Linked DNA regions of Mytilus edulis. The protein of the gene in region 1 binds, or shares a complex with, the protein of each later gene. Links are inferred from orthologs where the notes say so. Each region holds a gene or a part of one and is shown in the gene's direction. Other genes may lie near its edges.

Region 1 (8,212 bases):
GCTCAGATTCTATAATTTGACTGAAAATAAAAAAAATAAAACATCTTGCTTCACTTCTGTTGATTTTTCTAATACCTGTAACGTTGTTATGTACATGACGTCATAGAACATACTTTTAAATTAATTCATCTGTAAAAGACAATAATGACTGGACATCCAGTATGATAAAGGTATCCCTCGAAAAAGCATTGTCAACCTTGATGAACAAGATGTTTATGAAATTTTACAAATAACTTCGGTTGATCATTTCTGACCAGTTTATATAAAAATAAGAAGATTTGTTATTACTGAGTACGAGACAACTATCCAGCAGAGACCGAATGGTTTAGAAATTAACAACTGTATGTCACCGTACAGCCTTCAACAATAAACAAAACCCTTGCCGCAAAACAGTTTTAAAAGGTCCCGAAATGACAACTCTGAACCTATCCAAACGAGATACGGCCAAATGAACGAAATAAAATACGATATGCAGCAACAAACAAATACTAGTACCACGGATTTACAGGATACTGACCATAAACAGGCACATACAGTTACTTACAAATAGTTCCGATCCAATAACAACAAAGAAAAAGAGCATTATCTTAAACTAAAGCATCAATCAGTACACACAAAAAATATCAATGGATTTAGTTTTAATACGTCATCAACAGCAGAGACAAACATGACCTTGTGCATTGCCAAAATACGGGTATCAACGGATTGTAGAACCGTGAATGTCTATCTATTATACGTTTTTTGAGATAATAACCAGAAATGCTGAAATTCGTCTTTAAAGCACAAAAAAACTCCATAGTACAAACATTTTTTGTATTACTAGTAAGCCGTTAAAGGTCTATATAAAAAATATGAAATACACAAATTCAAATGGTATACGTCTGTTTCTGTTTAAAAGTTATTTTTTTCGGAAATGTATTGAAAGATAAACTGACATCTCTCTCAATTCAGTCATGAAGATACAATTTACTTAGCATATTTTGCGAGTATATAATTTTATCAATATTGACTTTGTTTTAAAATTTCAAGGAAAAAAACAGTGGAAGATATCGTCTGTATCATTAACTTGACTTTTATTACATGTAAAGACGTTTATTTATCAATGTTGGCTTTTGTTTTCGTTATATTTCTTCATTTGCTTTCAGAAATGTACTCCGTGTTGCGTTGAGGTGCATTGTCACCTGATTGCTATACAAACCTGTGTATATTAGTATATGACCATAAAGTAAATCAAACCTACCGCCTGGTATTCGGATACACTGTCAATTTTCTTCGACTTATAGTTCTTTGCTTCAAAATGAGGAATGCCCCTAAAAAAAGACATTTATTTAAAGTCAGTTTAATTCATGAAATAATGAACGTGCATGCTTTTGTTATCGTATCATGGCACAATGCATGTTGTTTTTTTAAAACACCGAATCTGAATCTGTCTCTTACCTAGGTTTTAATTTGTAAAGTTATATTTATTGGTGCAAATCCCAGTCATAGCGTACCACTCATTAGAACTATTGATTGATTGATTGTTTGATCTCCAGTTGCATCCTAGTATAAAGTTTAAACAGTGCACCATTTTTTAGGGTTCGCTGGCACAATATCCTTGCCCTTACCTGGTGTTACAGTACAACAAAAAATGAACTGACGAAATCAGTTGAAACGGGAACTTCGTGTCCGTATATACTCCATTGGTGTAAAAAGGGAAGAGACGTATGATTGTCAAGAGAATCAGATAACATCGTAAGGAGGCCCAAATAAACACGGCAGTGCTGAAGGAAACAACTTGAGGGGGATCTTATTTTTTTGTCTTAATTCTTTGACTGTTTAGACTTTCTTATGTGAAACTGAAATTTAGAATATGAATGTCAGTTATTGCTTTATATATATATAGTAGATTAGAGTAAAATCAGTTCTAAAGGGTAAACTTCTTTTGCCGTATGACTAAACAGTTCTTCATTATTTTAAGCAAAAACATCATCAAGGTAACGGTAATTATATTTAATTTCCAATTAATTGGTTTCAGACGAATATTTTCTACACTGTGTAAGTGTGGCCATAAACTGTGGATCATTACAATACAGGAACAAGTCGCCATTTAAGAGGGCGCAATTAGTGCCCATATGAAAACCTTCTACCCTTTAGATAAGCATACTGCCGAAACTTACATAGTTTTTGTCAATAATATAATTGATAGCTTTTATCATCTCATTACTGCTCCATTAACAATATTGGCTTTCTTTTACTTTAAGGGTCCCTATACTTTAGAGGTAGGGTTCATTCATGGTAATGGTTAGGTTAGGGGCTGTTTTAGGTTAGGGTTAGTATTTAGTGTTAGGGCTAGTGTTATGGTTAGGTATGGGTAAGGGTAAGATTGGGGTTTAGGATAGTTAAGTATAGCTCTATAAGAGTTGGGACCCCTAAAATAAAAGAAGGCCACAATATTTGTCACATTTACCTCTTTTTTATTAGTACATGTAAAATGATATATGACCCCTTTTTGTTGATTACTGTATTTGTCAACGTAAATGACATAATTACAAAATACTAAGCAAACTCATTTATGCTTTTAATGATATTGATACAATTTATTTCACAATTTGCCATAAGTAGCTTTTCACTGCAGCAAAAGCGTTCCAGATTGTATTCCAGACAAAAGGGGCTATAGGCGATATCCTCAACTTGGGATGCTTGGATAGATTTGAATTAACGACCAGTTAAAATTCATTTAATAGATTAGTATTTCAACAAATACTGTATGTACCAATTTACAAATGATATCTGCACTGAAGCACATACTGTTGTCTCTCTTTCCCCCTCACTCTCATAATCTCTCTGGAAATTAATCGACTAAGTTTTTTATATTTTTTTTACCTTGGATTCTTCACTGGATCAACCACGACGATAATTTTAGAGCTGGACATTCCTTAGCGGTACGCGAAAAACGGACGTTGATTTTTTTCTCCTCCCTCACCCGCATCCACTTCAACTCCCTTCGTTACCGGCTCAACAATGTGACGTTAACGTCTTTGTGATGACCAAGTGTATAGCAACGGTCAAGGAGATCAATGGTGACGTCACCCATAGCGTAGAATAGTTTGGTTATTCTTTATTTATTTCTAAATCTGTATTAGTTGCATTAAACGTACTGATTATCAAGTTTTCTTTGGTTTTGTTTAAAAATATTTTATATTTCTCCCAAAAAAAAATGGGAACGATTGTTGTAAAAATTATAACTGAAACGGCAACTGTTTTAAAAAAAAATATATACGTTTTACTTATATATGAGTTATCAATACACGCGTATAACTGCATCCAGCACTATAATGTTATATATACTACATGTGCTTTCTGGGAAAGACACATGCAGTCTTTTAGAACCTGAAAACTCTGTTGACCATCGAAGGGCGAACTGTCAAAAGAACACTAGAAAGTAATTACTGAACCGTTTATATATGGATTTCCGAAGCTTGTCTTTTTGTTAGATTTTTTCGTTTCGTTGTTACTTTCACATAGACGCGTACCCAACATCCCTTTTATTCAAATGAAAAATGCAGTTTATAGATAAAATCAGTTGTTTTATGCATTCTTAACATGCACTCTAAATTGGAATTTGTAGTTTCAAATTGGTTTCGTTTATCAATAATTTTGCATAAAGGTTGTCCTAAGCAGTTATAATATCAAGGAAGTCTATAAAAGATATCGGTCGATCACTACTAATGAATGTATGGTTTATTTGATTTGAAACAAACATGTTTGAGTTTTGGATATAGTGTATTGTTTGTAGCGGAGAAATTTGTCTTAGTATTTACTGACTTTACTGGTGTGCACGGTAAAAAACATCGATGTAGTGCTATTTCGTTTCGGCAAAAGTTTAAATCTTGCCCATTACAGTACCCGTATAACTTTCCCCGCACTTTCTCCCATGTCGAACTATACTTTGTATCGTTTCAGTGTTGATTTGTTTTTGTCTTTAATATGCATGGATATTTTGCCACTGAACTTTAAACTGAATTTCTAAAAGAAATCATGAGGTTTATACAATGAATTTTACGAATTAATGTTTGTTGAAAAAACCCCATAAAAGTACTAGGTCCGTCCGACATTTCTAAACAGTGTAATGTCAATATTTTTCAGTATAATAATTCAGATATGGATAGAAACTGCACATTGCTAGTAAATAAAGAAATAGTTATGCCAATCACGGTTAAAAACGATAAACTTGATAATAATTTGGTACAAATAGATAGGAAAATGACAAAAAAAGATTTTAAAAACAATGATAATAAAAATTTTAATCTGCTAACCGAGTCCATGTGACACAGGCACTTGTATCAACAACAATAAAATAATATATATATACCTTTATATAACACGGTATATATGTGGGCAGGAAAATTCTGAAACAAGTCGGGAGTGTAGTCTCAGCTGTGCCCTGTTACTTAGATTGAACTCATCGTGTCAAATTATCAGAATATGGGGATTTTTTTTCTTTAAAACGGTGACTTTTAAATTATCTATTGATTCAATATTAAAATTAAATCATTTTCATTTAAATTCGCGCAGTCTGTCAGAATTCACTCACTAAAAGGACGTTATCGGTTATCGGTTATCGGTTATCGGTGATCTTCTTACGGTATTCAGATAGATCGCTTTCCACTGGTTTCTGGTTTCCAATCGATAAGGAACCAGACACGGCATTATCCGGCAACATAAAAATGAAAAAGTCGGAGGAAAAACAAAAACCAGTCACACGTAAATGAGGAAATTATTAAAACATAATTATTGTGTCCATATCTGAATATGTAGATGCTTGTCATTGTATGCACAAGTCTTCATAAGTTAATTTGTAACAGTCATTCCAAAAACTGATCACTATAAAGTGTTGACCGATGGCCTAAGGCTAAGTATAGTAAGCCACCTCTGTTCACTACTAAATCAAGAACAACAGTACTGTGCCAAATAATTTGACCATTCATTCAGGGTGTTTGTATATCTCCCAGTACAAGGAAAGCATCAATATCCCAAATTACTTTCGAAATCATGAAAATACATGCATCATAAAACATTTTATACTATAGGCTAATGATATGGTATCACACAACACAATTTCAGCTTTACCTCAACTGACTGCATAACACTCATTATCCGAATAACACATGTAATGACCGAATAACACTTGAAATTTTAATATTAGCACATATTTGTAACTTTTAAACATTGATTATTAAATAATAATACATTATCGATGTATTTTATAACTTACAAATGATTTGCAGAAAGCAGATAAGTTCATTAAAAACTTTTTAAATTTAGTGTGTACATCGAACGATGGCGGCCACAGAAATCACAATGGCCGCCATGTACGATGTACACACTAAATTTAAAATGATCTTTATGAACTCTTTTTGCTTTCTTTAAATCATTTTTAAGTTATAAAATATATCGATGATATATTATTATTTAATAATCAATGTTTAAAAGTCACAAATATGTGCTATTATAATTTCAAGTGTTATTCGGTCATTATAAGTGTTATTCGGATAATAACAGTGTTATTTAGTCATTCATGATGCGGGATTGCCGATTTTTTGTAAGCGTGACACGTGAAAGTCAAAATATTGTGCCGTGAAAACAGGAAATGAAGTCTAGCGGGACACGGGAAATTACAAAAAAATGATAGTTGCTTACAATAGTGTAAACGGGATACGGGAATCTGACAAAACAGTAAGCGGGATCCGGGATCAGAACCCCCAATGAGACCCCCTTCATATACTAGATATTCCTCCATAATGACGCTTTTTGACGCCACCCCCTTTGCTCCATAATGACGCCTTTTAACGCCTGTGTAGTACCTCAGTTGAAACGCTTTTGACTACAAAATGTCTGCATCAGACTTAAAAAAATTAGCATCCAATATGAAAAGGATATTCATAAGAATATCTGATTTGAATTTCATTGATGAAATATTCATTTTCACAATGCATTAATACTTTAAACCTGATGATTTTTTTTTTATTAAAAAAATCCTATGCAAATCAAGTATGTAAGAAAATAAATTCCACAGAGGAAAGGGTTAACAAATAATGTGTTGTTACTGTTTCAAAAAGTTATTTTTTGAGTTACTTAGGATCAAGTTTTCTTTTATAGCACAATATTATAGGAAATTAGAAAAGAGAAAGTCAGAAAAAAACTACAGCACTGGCTTGCTCTACCTACTCATATTTATGGAAAAGGCCTTATGGAAGAGCCCTATTTCAAGACAATTTTCCCTCAAATATGTTTTCATTTTCAATATTTTCGTGAAATTACAAGTGTTTTTGATGTTTAAATATTCGTATGTAATTAATAGAGGGGGGGGGGGGGGGGTCAAATTTCTCAAATGTGTTTACTTGGGGATCAAATGAAAATAGTGAAATATTATAGCACTGGCTTGCTCTACCTACTCATATTTATGGAAAAGGCCTTATGGAAGAGCCCTATTTCAAGACAATTTTCCCTCAAATATGTTTTCATTTTCAATATTTTCGTGAAATTACAAGTGTTTTTGATGTTTAAATATTCGTATGTAAATAGAGGGGGGGGGGGGGGGTCAAATTTCTCAAATGTGTTTACTTGGGGATCAAATGAAAATAGTGAAATATTATGTATTATGGGGGGGATCAAGAAATTTTATATGTTTGATTTCAAAAAGTCCCTTAATTAAATGATGTTTATTCATGATACATACATAATCATTAAGACTAAAGAGTTTAATTAAATGATGATTATTCTTTTTGAAATGCATATTTTATATACAAATTATAATATCTATGCAACTATTCTTTAAATTTTCAAAAGAAATTTATTTTTAAAAACGAGGTGCCGGATTGTCTTGGTGTGCCGAAATGTCTTCGGACTTGGGTGCTGATAAGTCTTGTTATCAATATTTTTCCTCTTAAATCGATTGAAATCCCTGAACTAAGTGTTTACTGAGTGACAACCAATCTTGAAGTGAAAATTGCAGGTATGTAATTTAACAGGTAAATGAAAGTGAGAAGATTTCAACTGATGTTTCAATCATAAAACGTATAACAGAACTTTGGTAAACAATTTTGAAACAGTGAAGTAGAATAAATCTTGCAAGAAAGTAAAATCCTTTCTCAGTAATTAATCATTTTTATTAGAATAAAAATTTCCAAATTTCTCTCTCGCACACAACTCATGAGTTAGAGTCAGACTAAGACTAAGAGTAATTAGATAATAGACCTTCTTGCTATTTCAGTATTTAGGAATGCATGTAGTTCAGTGGCAGATCCAGAAATTTTTATAAGTGACTGCCTGAGACGGGCCTACTCTGGTCTTGCTTCAGAGATTCCAAATATAATCAACCAAATTTTTCCCAGAAAACAATCTACTCAAACTCAATCCCCCTTTGTAGTTACAGTTTTGTGTTATTTAATTTTGATCTCTGAAATACATAACATGTAATCTTTACAGAAGTTTACACCATAGCCTTGTAAATCATCTTGAAAAATTTCCTTATCTGTTCAGTATGTATTTTTTACTAAAAGAATTATCTCCCCTTAAATGGCTTATTTGAAAAAATGATTTTAAGAACACAAAATTTGATATTTGTTTAAATGTTTTGAGTTAAACAAAATAAATCCACAAGTTTTCCTTATATAAAAAAAACCCCCACAATCTTATCAATAACAGGGGCATACATGTAGCTGCCGTTAGCACATAATTTTTTCACAAATATTTTTTTTTATTGAAAAAAATAATAAACAACGTTATATGTTAATAAAAGCCGTCGAAGTTGTCAATTATCGAATGTCATGTGTACACTAGTCTCTCGTCCTTAGTGAATGGAATATTGGATAGAATTGAATGTTTTTACGATTTTACCTTATAAACATTTAACTATAGCTTTCCACTTTGTCTTCACCTGACTTGCCAATGTTGGTCGTCCGTTTGGCTGTGCAGGATGTGTAAATACGCAGTCACGTCTGGTCAGAATGGGAACATTAAATACGATGCCTAGTTGTAGAGAGAATGCAACTCTTTGAGGAGTTCGTAGTTGGTCTACTGAAAGGCAAAAATTATGCTCCTATCCAATAATCCCTCATTTTCCAATGCATGGCATTTTTAAATTTCCAGACCTTCGTCCTGTACGACACCTACATGTATTACAGGACCTAGCTCCAAGTTGTATTTATTGTAAAAAAATTTCAAGGGT
Region 2 (8,596 bases), on another chromosome or scaffold:
GTGTATGGAAGGACTGTAAGGTGTACATGTCCAACTGGCAGGTGTCATCTGACCTTGACCTCATTTTCATGGTTCAGTGGTTATAGTTAAATTTTTGTGTTTTGGTCTGTTTTTCTCATACTATATGCAATAGGTCTACTATATTTGTTGTATGGAATGATGGTAAGGTGTTCATATCTAGCGGGCAGATGTCATCTGACCTTGACCTCATTTTCATGGTTCAGTGGTCAAAGTTAAGTTTTTGAGTTTTGGTCTTTTTATCTAATACTGTATGCCATAGGTCAACTATATTTGGTGTATGGAAATATTTTATGATCTTTATGTCAGTCGCGCAGGTTTTATTTGACGGTGACCTCATTTTCACGGTTCATTGCACAGTGTTAAGTTTTTGTGTTTTGGTCTATTTTTCTTAAACTATAAGTAATGGGTAACTATATATGTTGTATAGAAGCATTGTTAGCTGTACATGTCTGCCTGGCATGGTTCATCTGACCTTGACCTCATTTTCAAGGTTCATTGGTCTTTGTTTAGTTATCTTGGTTAATGTTAAGTTTATGAGACAGTTGTAATAAAACTAAGCTTTATACTTAGGACTATCAACATAATATCAATGATTAGTATAGAAGGCGAGACATTTCAGCGTGTGCACTCTTGTTGAATAAATGTGTTTAGTTCCGATGCAAAGACCCTATAAGTGAATCAATATTAACGCCAAAATATGCAATCTTTAATGACCTGTGTTGTAAATGTGTATATTGGTTATTTCCAAGTAAAGGAATATTGTTATTATTGTATTATGAGAGTTTATATGAGTTGTCAGAAGTTATTTCTAGTATTTAGTATATTGAATGAGTAATTTACGTACGTTTTACTTTATGTTATTAGCTGTATCTATAACGTCGTTTATGGGAATAAAGTGCAACTTTGTCATGTATTGTTCAGAACGTTACCGTTGGGTCAATGTTTTAAGCGTGAACCCAAAAGTGTTTTATTAAGTGTTCTTAACTGGAAGAATTGGTATGTCTATATTTGATTATTCATAAGAGTGTATGATTATAAGCATTTTGAGTCGAGGACTCCTATATTTTATGTAAGCGTTTTACGTTATGTTACGCTATGTTTTTCTTCCTGCTTAGAATATTTACTTCCGGTAATTTGAAATAAATACCAGTGCAACGTCACGTTCGTCAGTCTTTGCTGTGTTTACTTTTGGCTTGCAGCAAGGCTCATCCCGGGGGTTCCTAGAGGTAAGAAGCAGCGCATTAGCTGTATGCCTCGCATTTTATATTACAAGTAAGGGTTATAATTTTAGAGGTAAGAAGCAGCGCAGATAGCTGTATGCCTTGCATTTTATTTATAATTTTTTTTGTCATTGAAATATTTAAGATAATTCCAGTTGACCCGTACACGAGAAAGAATATTATTTTAGTAGCTCCGCCCGTATGTAAATTATATATATTATTGTTGGAATATTGTACTTGTATGGAAATATATCGGCTGTTTAATAAAAGTATCATTTTACTATTGACTAGTTATTCACGCTACCAATGATGAGAGAGAACAGACAACAGATTTGACGTCCGTATTTATTTATTACCCCGTGCATTTACTAGTTTTATGAGATATTCGTATTTGCTGGCTTTATAACTATATCAAAACATAGCAAGAAGCAGAAATTACGACAACCTGACAACAGTATCGTAACTATATCCCTTCTTAATAAGTCTATTCAAAGGTTTTGTTAGTTTTTGAGGTGAATACTGACACCTTTGTGCTTTATAAAGAATATTTCCATGAAAAAATGTGAAATACCTGAACGCATAAGATCGTATAAGAAGTCTGCATGTTGAGCTATATTTACGAATGATGTCCTTATACCGATGATAAAATTTAGTAAATGTTTTAACTAGTTTGTGATATCGAAAACCCTGGTGTAATAATTTTTCAGTAATACATAAATAAATTTCTCTCGTTAAAATCTAAAAGATTGTTACATACACAAGTTGAGATATATAAACACCGTAAGATGGTGACAAGGGAACGTCACGGTCACCATCTAAAAATGGATAATTAACGATAGGAAATGAAAAATCATCTCTTTTATCATAAATTTTAGTATTCAGCTTTCCGTTAGTGATATAGATATCAAGATCGAGGAAAGGACAGTGGTCATTGTTAGTATTAGCTTTATTTAAAGTAAGTTCAGCAGGATAAATTTCTTTAATATACATACTGAAGTCTACATACTGAAGTCGTCATTATTGAGAGCCAAAATATCATCCAAATATCTGAAAGTATTATTAAATTTGTTTATCAGATGTTGTTTTGATGGGTCTTTGCTTATTTTTGTCATAAATTGTAACTCATAGCAATACAAAAACAGGTCCGCAATAAGTGGTGCACAGTTAGTTCCCATTGGAATTCCGATAATCTGACGATATACCGGGATTCCCAAAGCGAACAAAAATGTTATCTAGTAAAAATTCAAGGGCATATATAGTATCAAAGCATGTCCAATTGACATAGTTTTTTTGTTTATTGCTACTAAAAAATGACCTAAAAGAGTTTGAACATATATATTCACATTCTGACATTTTAAATGCCCATTTAATTAGGTGTGTGAAATTTTTCTTAATGAGATTGTGAGGCAATGTGGTTTACAGGGTAGAAAAATCAAAACTTTGAACAGATTCAAAATCACCAATATAACTATGCAATTTATCAAGTACTTCCAACGAGTTCTTGACACTCCAAAAGTAATTAATTCCACTATTTTCTTGATGCAAAAGTAGGACAAAAACCAATCAATTATGCGTATTATTAAATAATTACTTGTCTTTATTCATCATTTTAATCGTAATTAAATAAAACCTGATTTTGATAAATTTTATCTTACATGAAAAAGCAATGGTTCCGTGTTCAAAATGCCAATTTTACCGTGTAAGACGTAACTGCAATAACTAACCATATATATAAGAAAGAACGAGGAAAAAGTTCTTGATTTGTGTAATGAAATAAAATCCTTCAAAAAAGATAATCATGATATAAACAGAGTTATTCTTGATATCTATATTACTAACGGAAAGCTGAATACTAAAATTTATGATAAAAGAGATGATTTTTCATTTCCTATCGTTAATTATCCATTTGTAGATGGTGACGTTCCCTTGTCACCATCTTACGGTGTTTATATATCTCAACTTGTACGATTCGCTCGTGTATGTAACAATGTTTTAGATTTTAACGAGAGAAATTTATGTATTACTGAAAAATTATCACACCAGGGTTTTCGATATCACAAACTAGTCAAAACATTTACTAAATTTTATCATCGGTATAAGGACATCATTCGTAAATATAGCTCAACATGCAGACTTCTTATACGTTCAGGTATTTCACATCCATTTTTTTATGGAAATATTCTTTATAAAGCACAAAGGTGTCAGTATTCACCTCAAAACCTAACAAAACCTTTGAATAGACTTATTAAGAAGGGATATAGTTACGATACTGTTGTCAGGTCATTAAAGATTGCATATTTTGGCGTTAATATTGATTCACTTATAGGGTCTTTGCATCGGAACTAAACACATTTATTCAAAAACAGTTGTTGACATGAAACGGGTTATGTTCTTCTCGTATATGTTATGATGGTATGATACTAAACCCCTAACGGGAAGGATTATGCCTGATGTTCATATGATGAAATCATAATCTTTCAGTCAGTTTAATTGAAGTCTGGAGCTGGCATGTCAGTTAACTGCTAGTAGTCTGTTGTTATTTATGTATTATTGTCATTTTGTTTATTTTCTTTGGTTACATCTTCTGACATCAGACTCGGACTTCTCTTGAACTGAATTTTAATGTGCGTATTGTTATGCGTTTACTTTTCTACATTGACTAGAGGTATAGGGGGAGGGTTGAGATCTCACAAACATGTTTAACCCCGCCGCATTTTTGCGCCTGTCCCAAGTCAGGAGCCTCTGGCCTTTGTTAGTCTTGTATTATTTTAATTTTAGTTTCTTGTGTACAATTTGGATATAAGTATGGCGTTCATTATCACTGAACTAGTATATATTTGTTATGGGGCCAGCTGAAGGACGCCTTCGGTTGCGGGAATTTCTCGCTACATTGAAGACCTGTTGGTGACCTTCTGCTGTTGTTTTTTTCTATGGTCGGGTTGTTGTCTCTTTGGCACATTCCCCATTTCCATTCTCAATTTTATTATAACTATTTTAACAAATTTTTACTCGCAGGCAGCTAAGAATTCTTTTGGAACCTTTGCTAATAAAAATCCGATTAAAAAAACTCATTGGGCCAAAATTAGGAATAAACCATGGTTTAATAAATCATGTAAGCTGAAAAGAAAACAATTTCACTCGGCAAAATATAAATATAAAATACAGAAAAGTATAAATATTAAGAAGTCACTGAAAAGAGCAAGTAAGGAATACAAAAAAGAAATAAACAAATGTTTTCAAAATTATCAGTTGAAGACAGAAAAAGAGCTTCGTAACATATCAACAAATAACCCGAAAGAATTTTGGAAAGTTTTAAATAGATTCTCTCCGAAACAAAAAAAGAAAAGTCCAATTTCACTAGAAGTAATGTATGCTCATTTTAAGAAGCTTAACGAAAGTGTGGCAAATGAGGAGGAAGAGTTTCAATTACCTAACCTATAGTTAAATGAGTTCGACAAAATTTTAAATGGGCCTATTACCGAGGAAGAAATTATCAAAGTGATTACAAATTTAAAAAATAACAAAGCCGCTGGATATGATGGAATAAGAAACGAGTTTATTAAAAATTCCATGTCTGTATGTTTATTAAGATTGGTGGTCCTTCTGACACTATGATAGCAGGGAGTTGCAGGGGAATATATGTTACTTATTACAAGAAACATTAAAAATTTATATAGGAGGGTTTTATTACCGCGTGTGTCATTGGTGCTCCAATAACGGAGGAATTTATTTAGAGAAGAAAAAAAGACGGACTATTATCATGTTTGCACGGTAATGTATCTAAAATTGCGTTATGAATCAGGATCAATTACACGTTTTATTTAATACGAAAAAATGCTCACCAAACAAAAACAATTGCTACACTGCACACCGAAAAAAATCGAAATCGTGAAATAAAATGTCGAGCTACCCGCTCATCTTTTGTACCGTTAGTGGCATTATCATTCGACTTGCCTTATTCCGGACCTCTCTCCCTGATTGGATCTCATTGCAACCAGAGGTTTCCACACCATTAACATCATGGGAGCGAGGTAAATTAATATGCAGAGAGGACTTCGGTTGAGCCGCAACTTGAGGGATGCTGAGTTTCATATAATTTTGTTTTTCCTTCCAACTCTTTCACGCTTAAGCTAGTCCAACCTTATCACGAAATTGAAATGTTAAAAGTTCCTTAACTCTTATGAAACAGTAGTCCGAGATTACTCTGACGTCCAACGGCTGTTTTGCCAGACAAGCTGGGCCGTGGGACGTCAGAGCTCGTCCCATATCAAAAAGTGGATATTTGCCCACCCAAAATAGATGCGCTGCTTCGCCGCTTCTGATGCCAACTGACGGCCATGGAATTATATAAATCGGGCATCATTCTGTTCATTTTTCATTTATCTCTATTTATGTAAGTTTCACCTACCTGCCAACCTTATTTTTCCATATTTTAACAGTTTTCACAGTGACCCACGAGAAAACAGTGTTGATTTATGCAAATGACCATAATGTAACACCTCGTTCATTTACGATGCAAGATATCTAAATGTCCGAGAGTTTCCACTTGTAACGTGGTCGGAACTAAATGCTTCATACCGATCTCCTGTAAAGGAGGTGAAAAATCGTGGTTGGCTACTAAATGTAAAACATCGATCTCCTACAAAGGAGGTGAAAAAATATAAATATTTGCATATTTTGAGTCTCGAGACCACGAACTCTCTCGTAACTTGACGTCCATTTGAAAGTGAAAGTCAAAATGCTGAAATCGATGGGTCACTGTGAAAACTGTTAAAATATGGAAAAATAAAGGTTGGCAGGTAGGTGAAACTTACATAAATGAAGAGATAAATGAAAAATGAACAGATTGATGCCCAATTTATATAATTCCATGGCTGTTAGTCTGCATCAGAAGCGACGAAGCAGCGCATCTATTTTGGGTGGGCAAATATCCACGTTTTGATATGGGACAAGCTCTGACGTCCCACGGCCCCAGCTTGTCTGGCAAAACAGCCGTTGGACGTCAGAGTAATCTCGGACTAATGAAACAGGTGCTTCACTGCCATGTCAACATGGCCAATTCAATAGGCATTTTGCTGTGAGAAGAGAAAATAAATTATTTACGATTGACCAACATAGAAGTTAGAACTACAACTAATGATTTCCAAATAAAATAAGCGTAGGCATGTTTTACACCATTTAATGCTTACGTGTTGTATACAGAAAACCTAATTATACAGCCCTTTGACACAGCTTATAAAGATAAACAGCAAATTGACACAGCCTATTGTCAATTTAAACTAGACAGAACATTGACACAGCAGGCAATTATGAATGTCAAATAACTTTGAAGACAGGTTACCAAATCAATGCAGAAATTAGAAAATAGAATGATCAGATCACTGAAACCGAGACGTAAACTATTGTTTTCCCAACTGGCTGCTCTTGCTTTTTAACCATTCATTGAAAACGTTTCTGAATTGAAATTTTCAATTATATTGGAAGAAATACCTTTACATCCAGTTCACAGGTAGAAAACATACAGGTATGCCCTGAAAATCTTTTGATCTGGACTGTTTTTCTAATTTCTAGTTTAATGCACATGAACTTTGTATAGACTTATTTGATCATTCATATGGGACCAGCAATTCCCTTAAGCGATTAAGCCATCCCTGTAATTAATACCTTCTGAAAATTATTAGTTTCAGTGTCATAAAATCCTTTGAATGAATCCTAATCAATTCAAATGTTTTTGCTTTAATAAAATTGAACATGCAAAATGAACTGAGATGCATTGTATAGAATTAAAGTGAATTTAATTTGAATCATCAATATTCAGAGATGTTTATAGTAAGTTTTATATGTTTTGGTGGAGACATATCACATGTGTAAGTATATTATTTCGAAAGCAACAGAGTAGGCTAGGTTGGCGTGGTTATATGACTGCTTTCATAGTTATTCAAGTTATTGTATTACTCTATCAAAGCTATCAGGTCTTTGATTTTTTTTTATATAATTTCATGAATAAACAAAATCTTAACTGTCACTAAAGAACTATGATGTACATGTTTCATTCCAAACTTCTGAAAGACACTGTATCAAATAATTGCCTTTTGTTAAATAGTGTTCTATTATGATGATTATATCAACTGATTGATCCCATTGTACTCAAATGTTATACCTGAAACCCAAAAATAGTTGCCATCACCCTTGTGATAAAATCAAATGTGGGAAGAAACACTGTGAGTGTCACGTGCATGTAGAGTTTCAAAATAAGCCTCAAAATTTGGTTCAGAAATAGGCTAATTATGCATTTAACTTATATTCACAGCGATGGAAGGTATTGCTTTAAAGGAGTATATGATATCGCCTTATGCTGGGGATTTATTTCATGAGGTAATATATACATAATTTAGTTATAATGATATATTAATTCTATATATAAAAAAAAAGTGATGGAATTTTGTGCTACTGTTCATAGGAACTGATGTAAAAAAAAAAACACAAAAGAAACAAGAGTTCATTCAATTATTTTTAATGATGTTTTTTTAAATAGACAGTTAATTTCTACCGAGGTTAATTTTTACTGAGCTGTGTAATAAAGTAAATAAATATATCTAATTCAATAAATGACAGAAAAGTGAGAAAAGCTGTAATATTTGTAACTTTAGAAAGTTACAGATCCCAGATAGATGAAAGCATTTGCATATGATAATGTTTTAGATGACAAAACATATAAACTGTGTTGAAACCTCACAATATACTGTCTTAGTTTTTTTTTACTATAATGTGTTATAATGTGTACTGTTATTAAACTGAGAGATGTATATTTTCATTTCAGACCCCACTAGTTCTAAGAATACTGGGTTTCATGACTTCATTTTCTGACCATACAATCTTACTGATGTTTGTTGTAAGTATATGAATGATTTAAGCAATTTTAAAACTAAATCACACAACAGTTAGGATATAGAAATAATATTTTGCTGTTTACAGTTTGATTGGTTCAATTGTGTCCAAATAAGACATGTTCATCATGTGGTTTATTTGTAAAAAAAGAAAAGAATGACATCATTGAAAAGGTTTCTATTTTTTAATTATTTGTCTTTAGTATTATCACTTACATGTAATATGATATTAAAAAGTAAATATAAGGAAAAAAAATACCAATTTAAAAAAATACATAAGACAACCATTAAAGGTTTCTGAACCAGAATTTGGAAAGCTGATCAATCAATATATATGTAAAATTTTGAGAGCATAACTACTTACGTGATAAAGGGATGAACTGTCTAACAGTAGATAGGAGTAAAAACAACTTGCTGTTGGTTTGGTTGCTTAACAGTATTGATTTTATGCAAATTTAGAATGAGAAA

Evidence for each region.
Region 2: the proteins of GPI transamidase component PIG-S-like (region 1) and phosphatidylinositol glycan anchor biosynthesis class U protein-like are in contact, whole or in part, in a cryo-EM structure (PDB 8IMX), measured with the Homo sapiens proteins. The link is inferred for Mytilus edulis from reciprocal best matches to the Homo sapiens genes PIGS and PIGU. Residues at the interface, in NP_149975.1 of Homo sapiens: Ala4, Gly5, Ala8, Thr9, Glu12, Arg15, Arg18, Ala19, Phe22, Phe23, Val26, Leu30, Leu34, Trp35, Thr38, Thr39, Leu510, Leu511, Phe513, Ile521, Tyr522, Leu525, Phe526; in NP_536724.1 of Homo sapiens: Gln118, Phe282, Glu283, His284, Phe285, Leu287, Phe288, Phe289, Cys291, Val292, Phe293, Ile295, Phe299, Tyr300, Ile302, Pro303, Ile306, Lys307, Lys309, Glu310, Thr417, His418.

Annotation. Positions count from the first base shown.
Region 1 is NC_092347.1:87,617,424-87,625,635, reverse strand, and holds the start of GPI transamidase component PIG-S-like, read left to right. Parts: upstream 1-4,642; 5' UTR 4,643-4,709; coding exon 4,710-4,746; intron 4,747-8,212. Other genes in the region: stabilizer of axonemal microtubules 2-like, read right to left, coding at 1,241-1,310, 2,866-2,915. UniProt on the Homo sapiens protein: Component of the glycosylphosphatidylinositol-anchor (GPI-anchor) transamidase (GPI-T) complex that catalyzes the formation of the linkage between a proprotein and a GPI-anchor and participates in GPI anchored protein biosynthesis.
Region 2 is NC_092348.1:7,151,519-7,160,114, reverse strand, and holds the start of phosphatidylinositol glycan anchor biosynthesis class U protein-like, read left to right. Parts: upstream 1-5,079; 5' UTR 5,080-5,139; coding exon 5,140-5,272; intron 5,273-7,551; coding exon 7,552-7,616; intron 7,617-8,061; coding exon 8,062-8,133; intron 8,134-8,596. UniProt on the Homo sapiens protein: Component of the glycosylphosphatidylinositol-anchor (GPI-anchor) transamidase (GPI-T) complex that catalyzes the formation of the linkage between a proprotein and a GPI-anchor and participates in GPI anchored protein biosynthesis.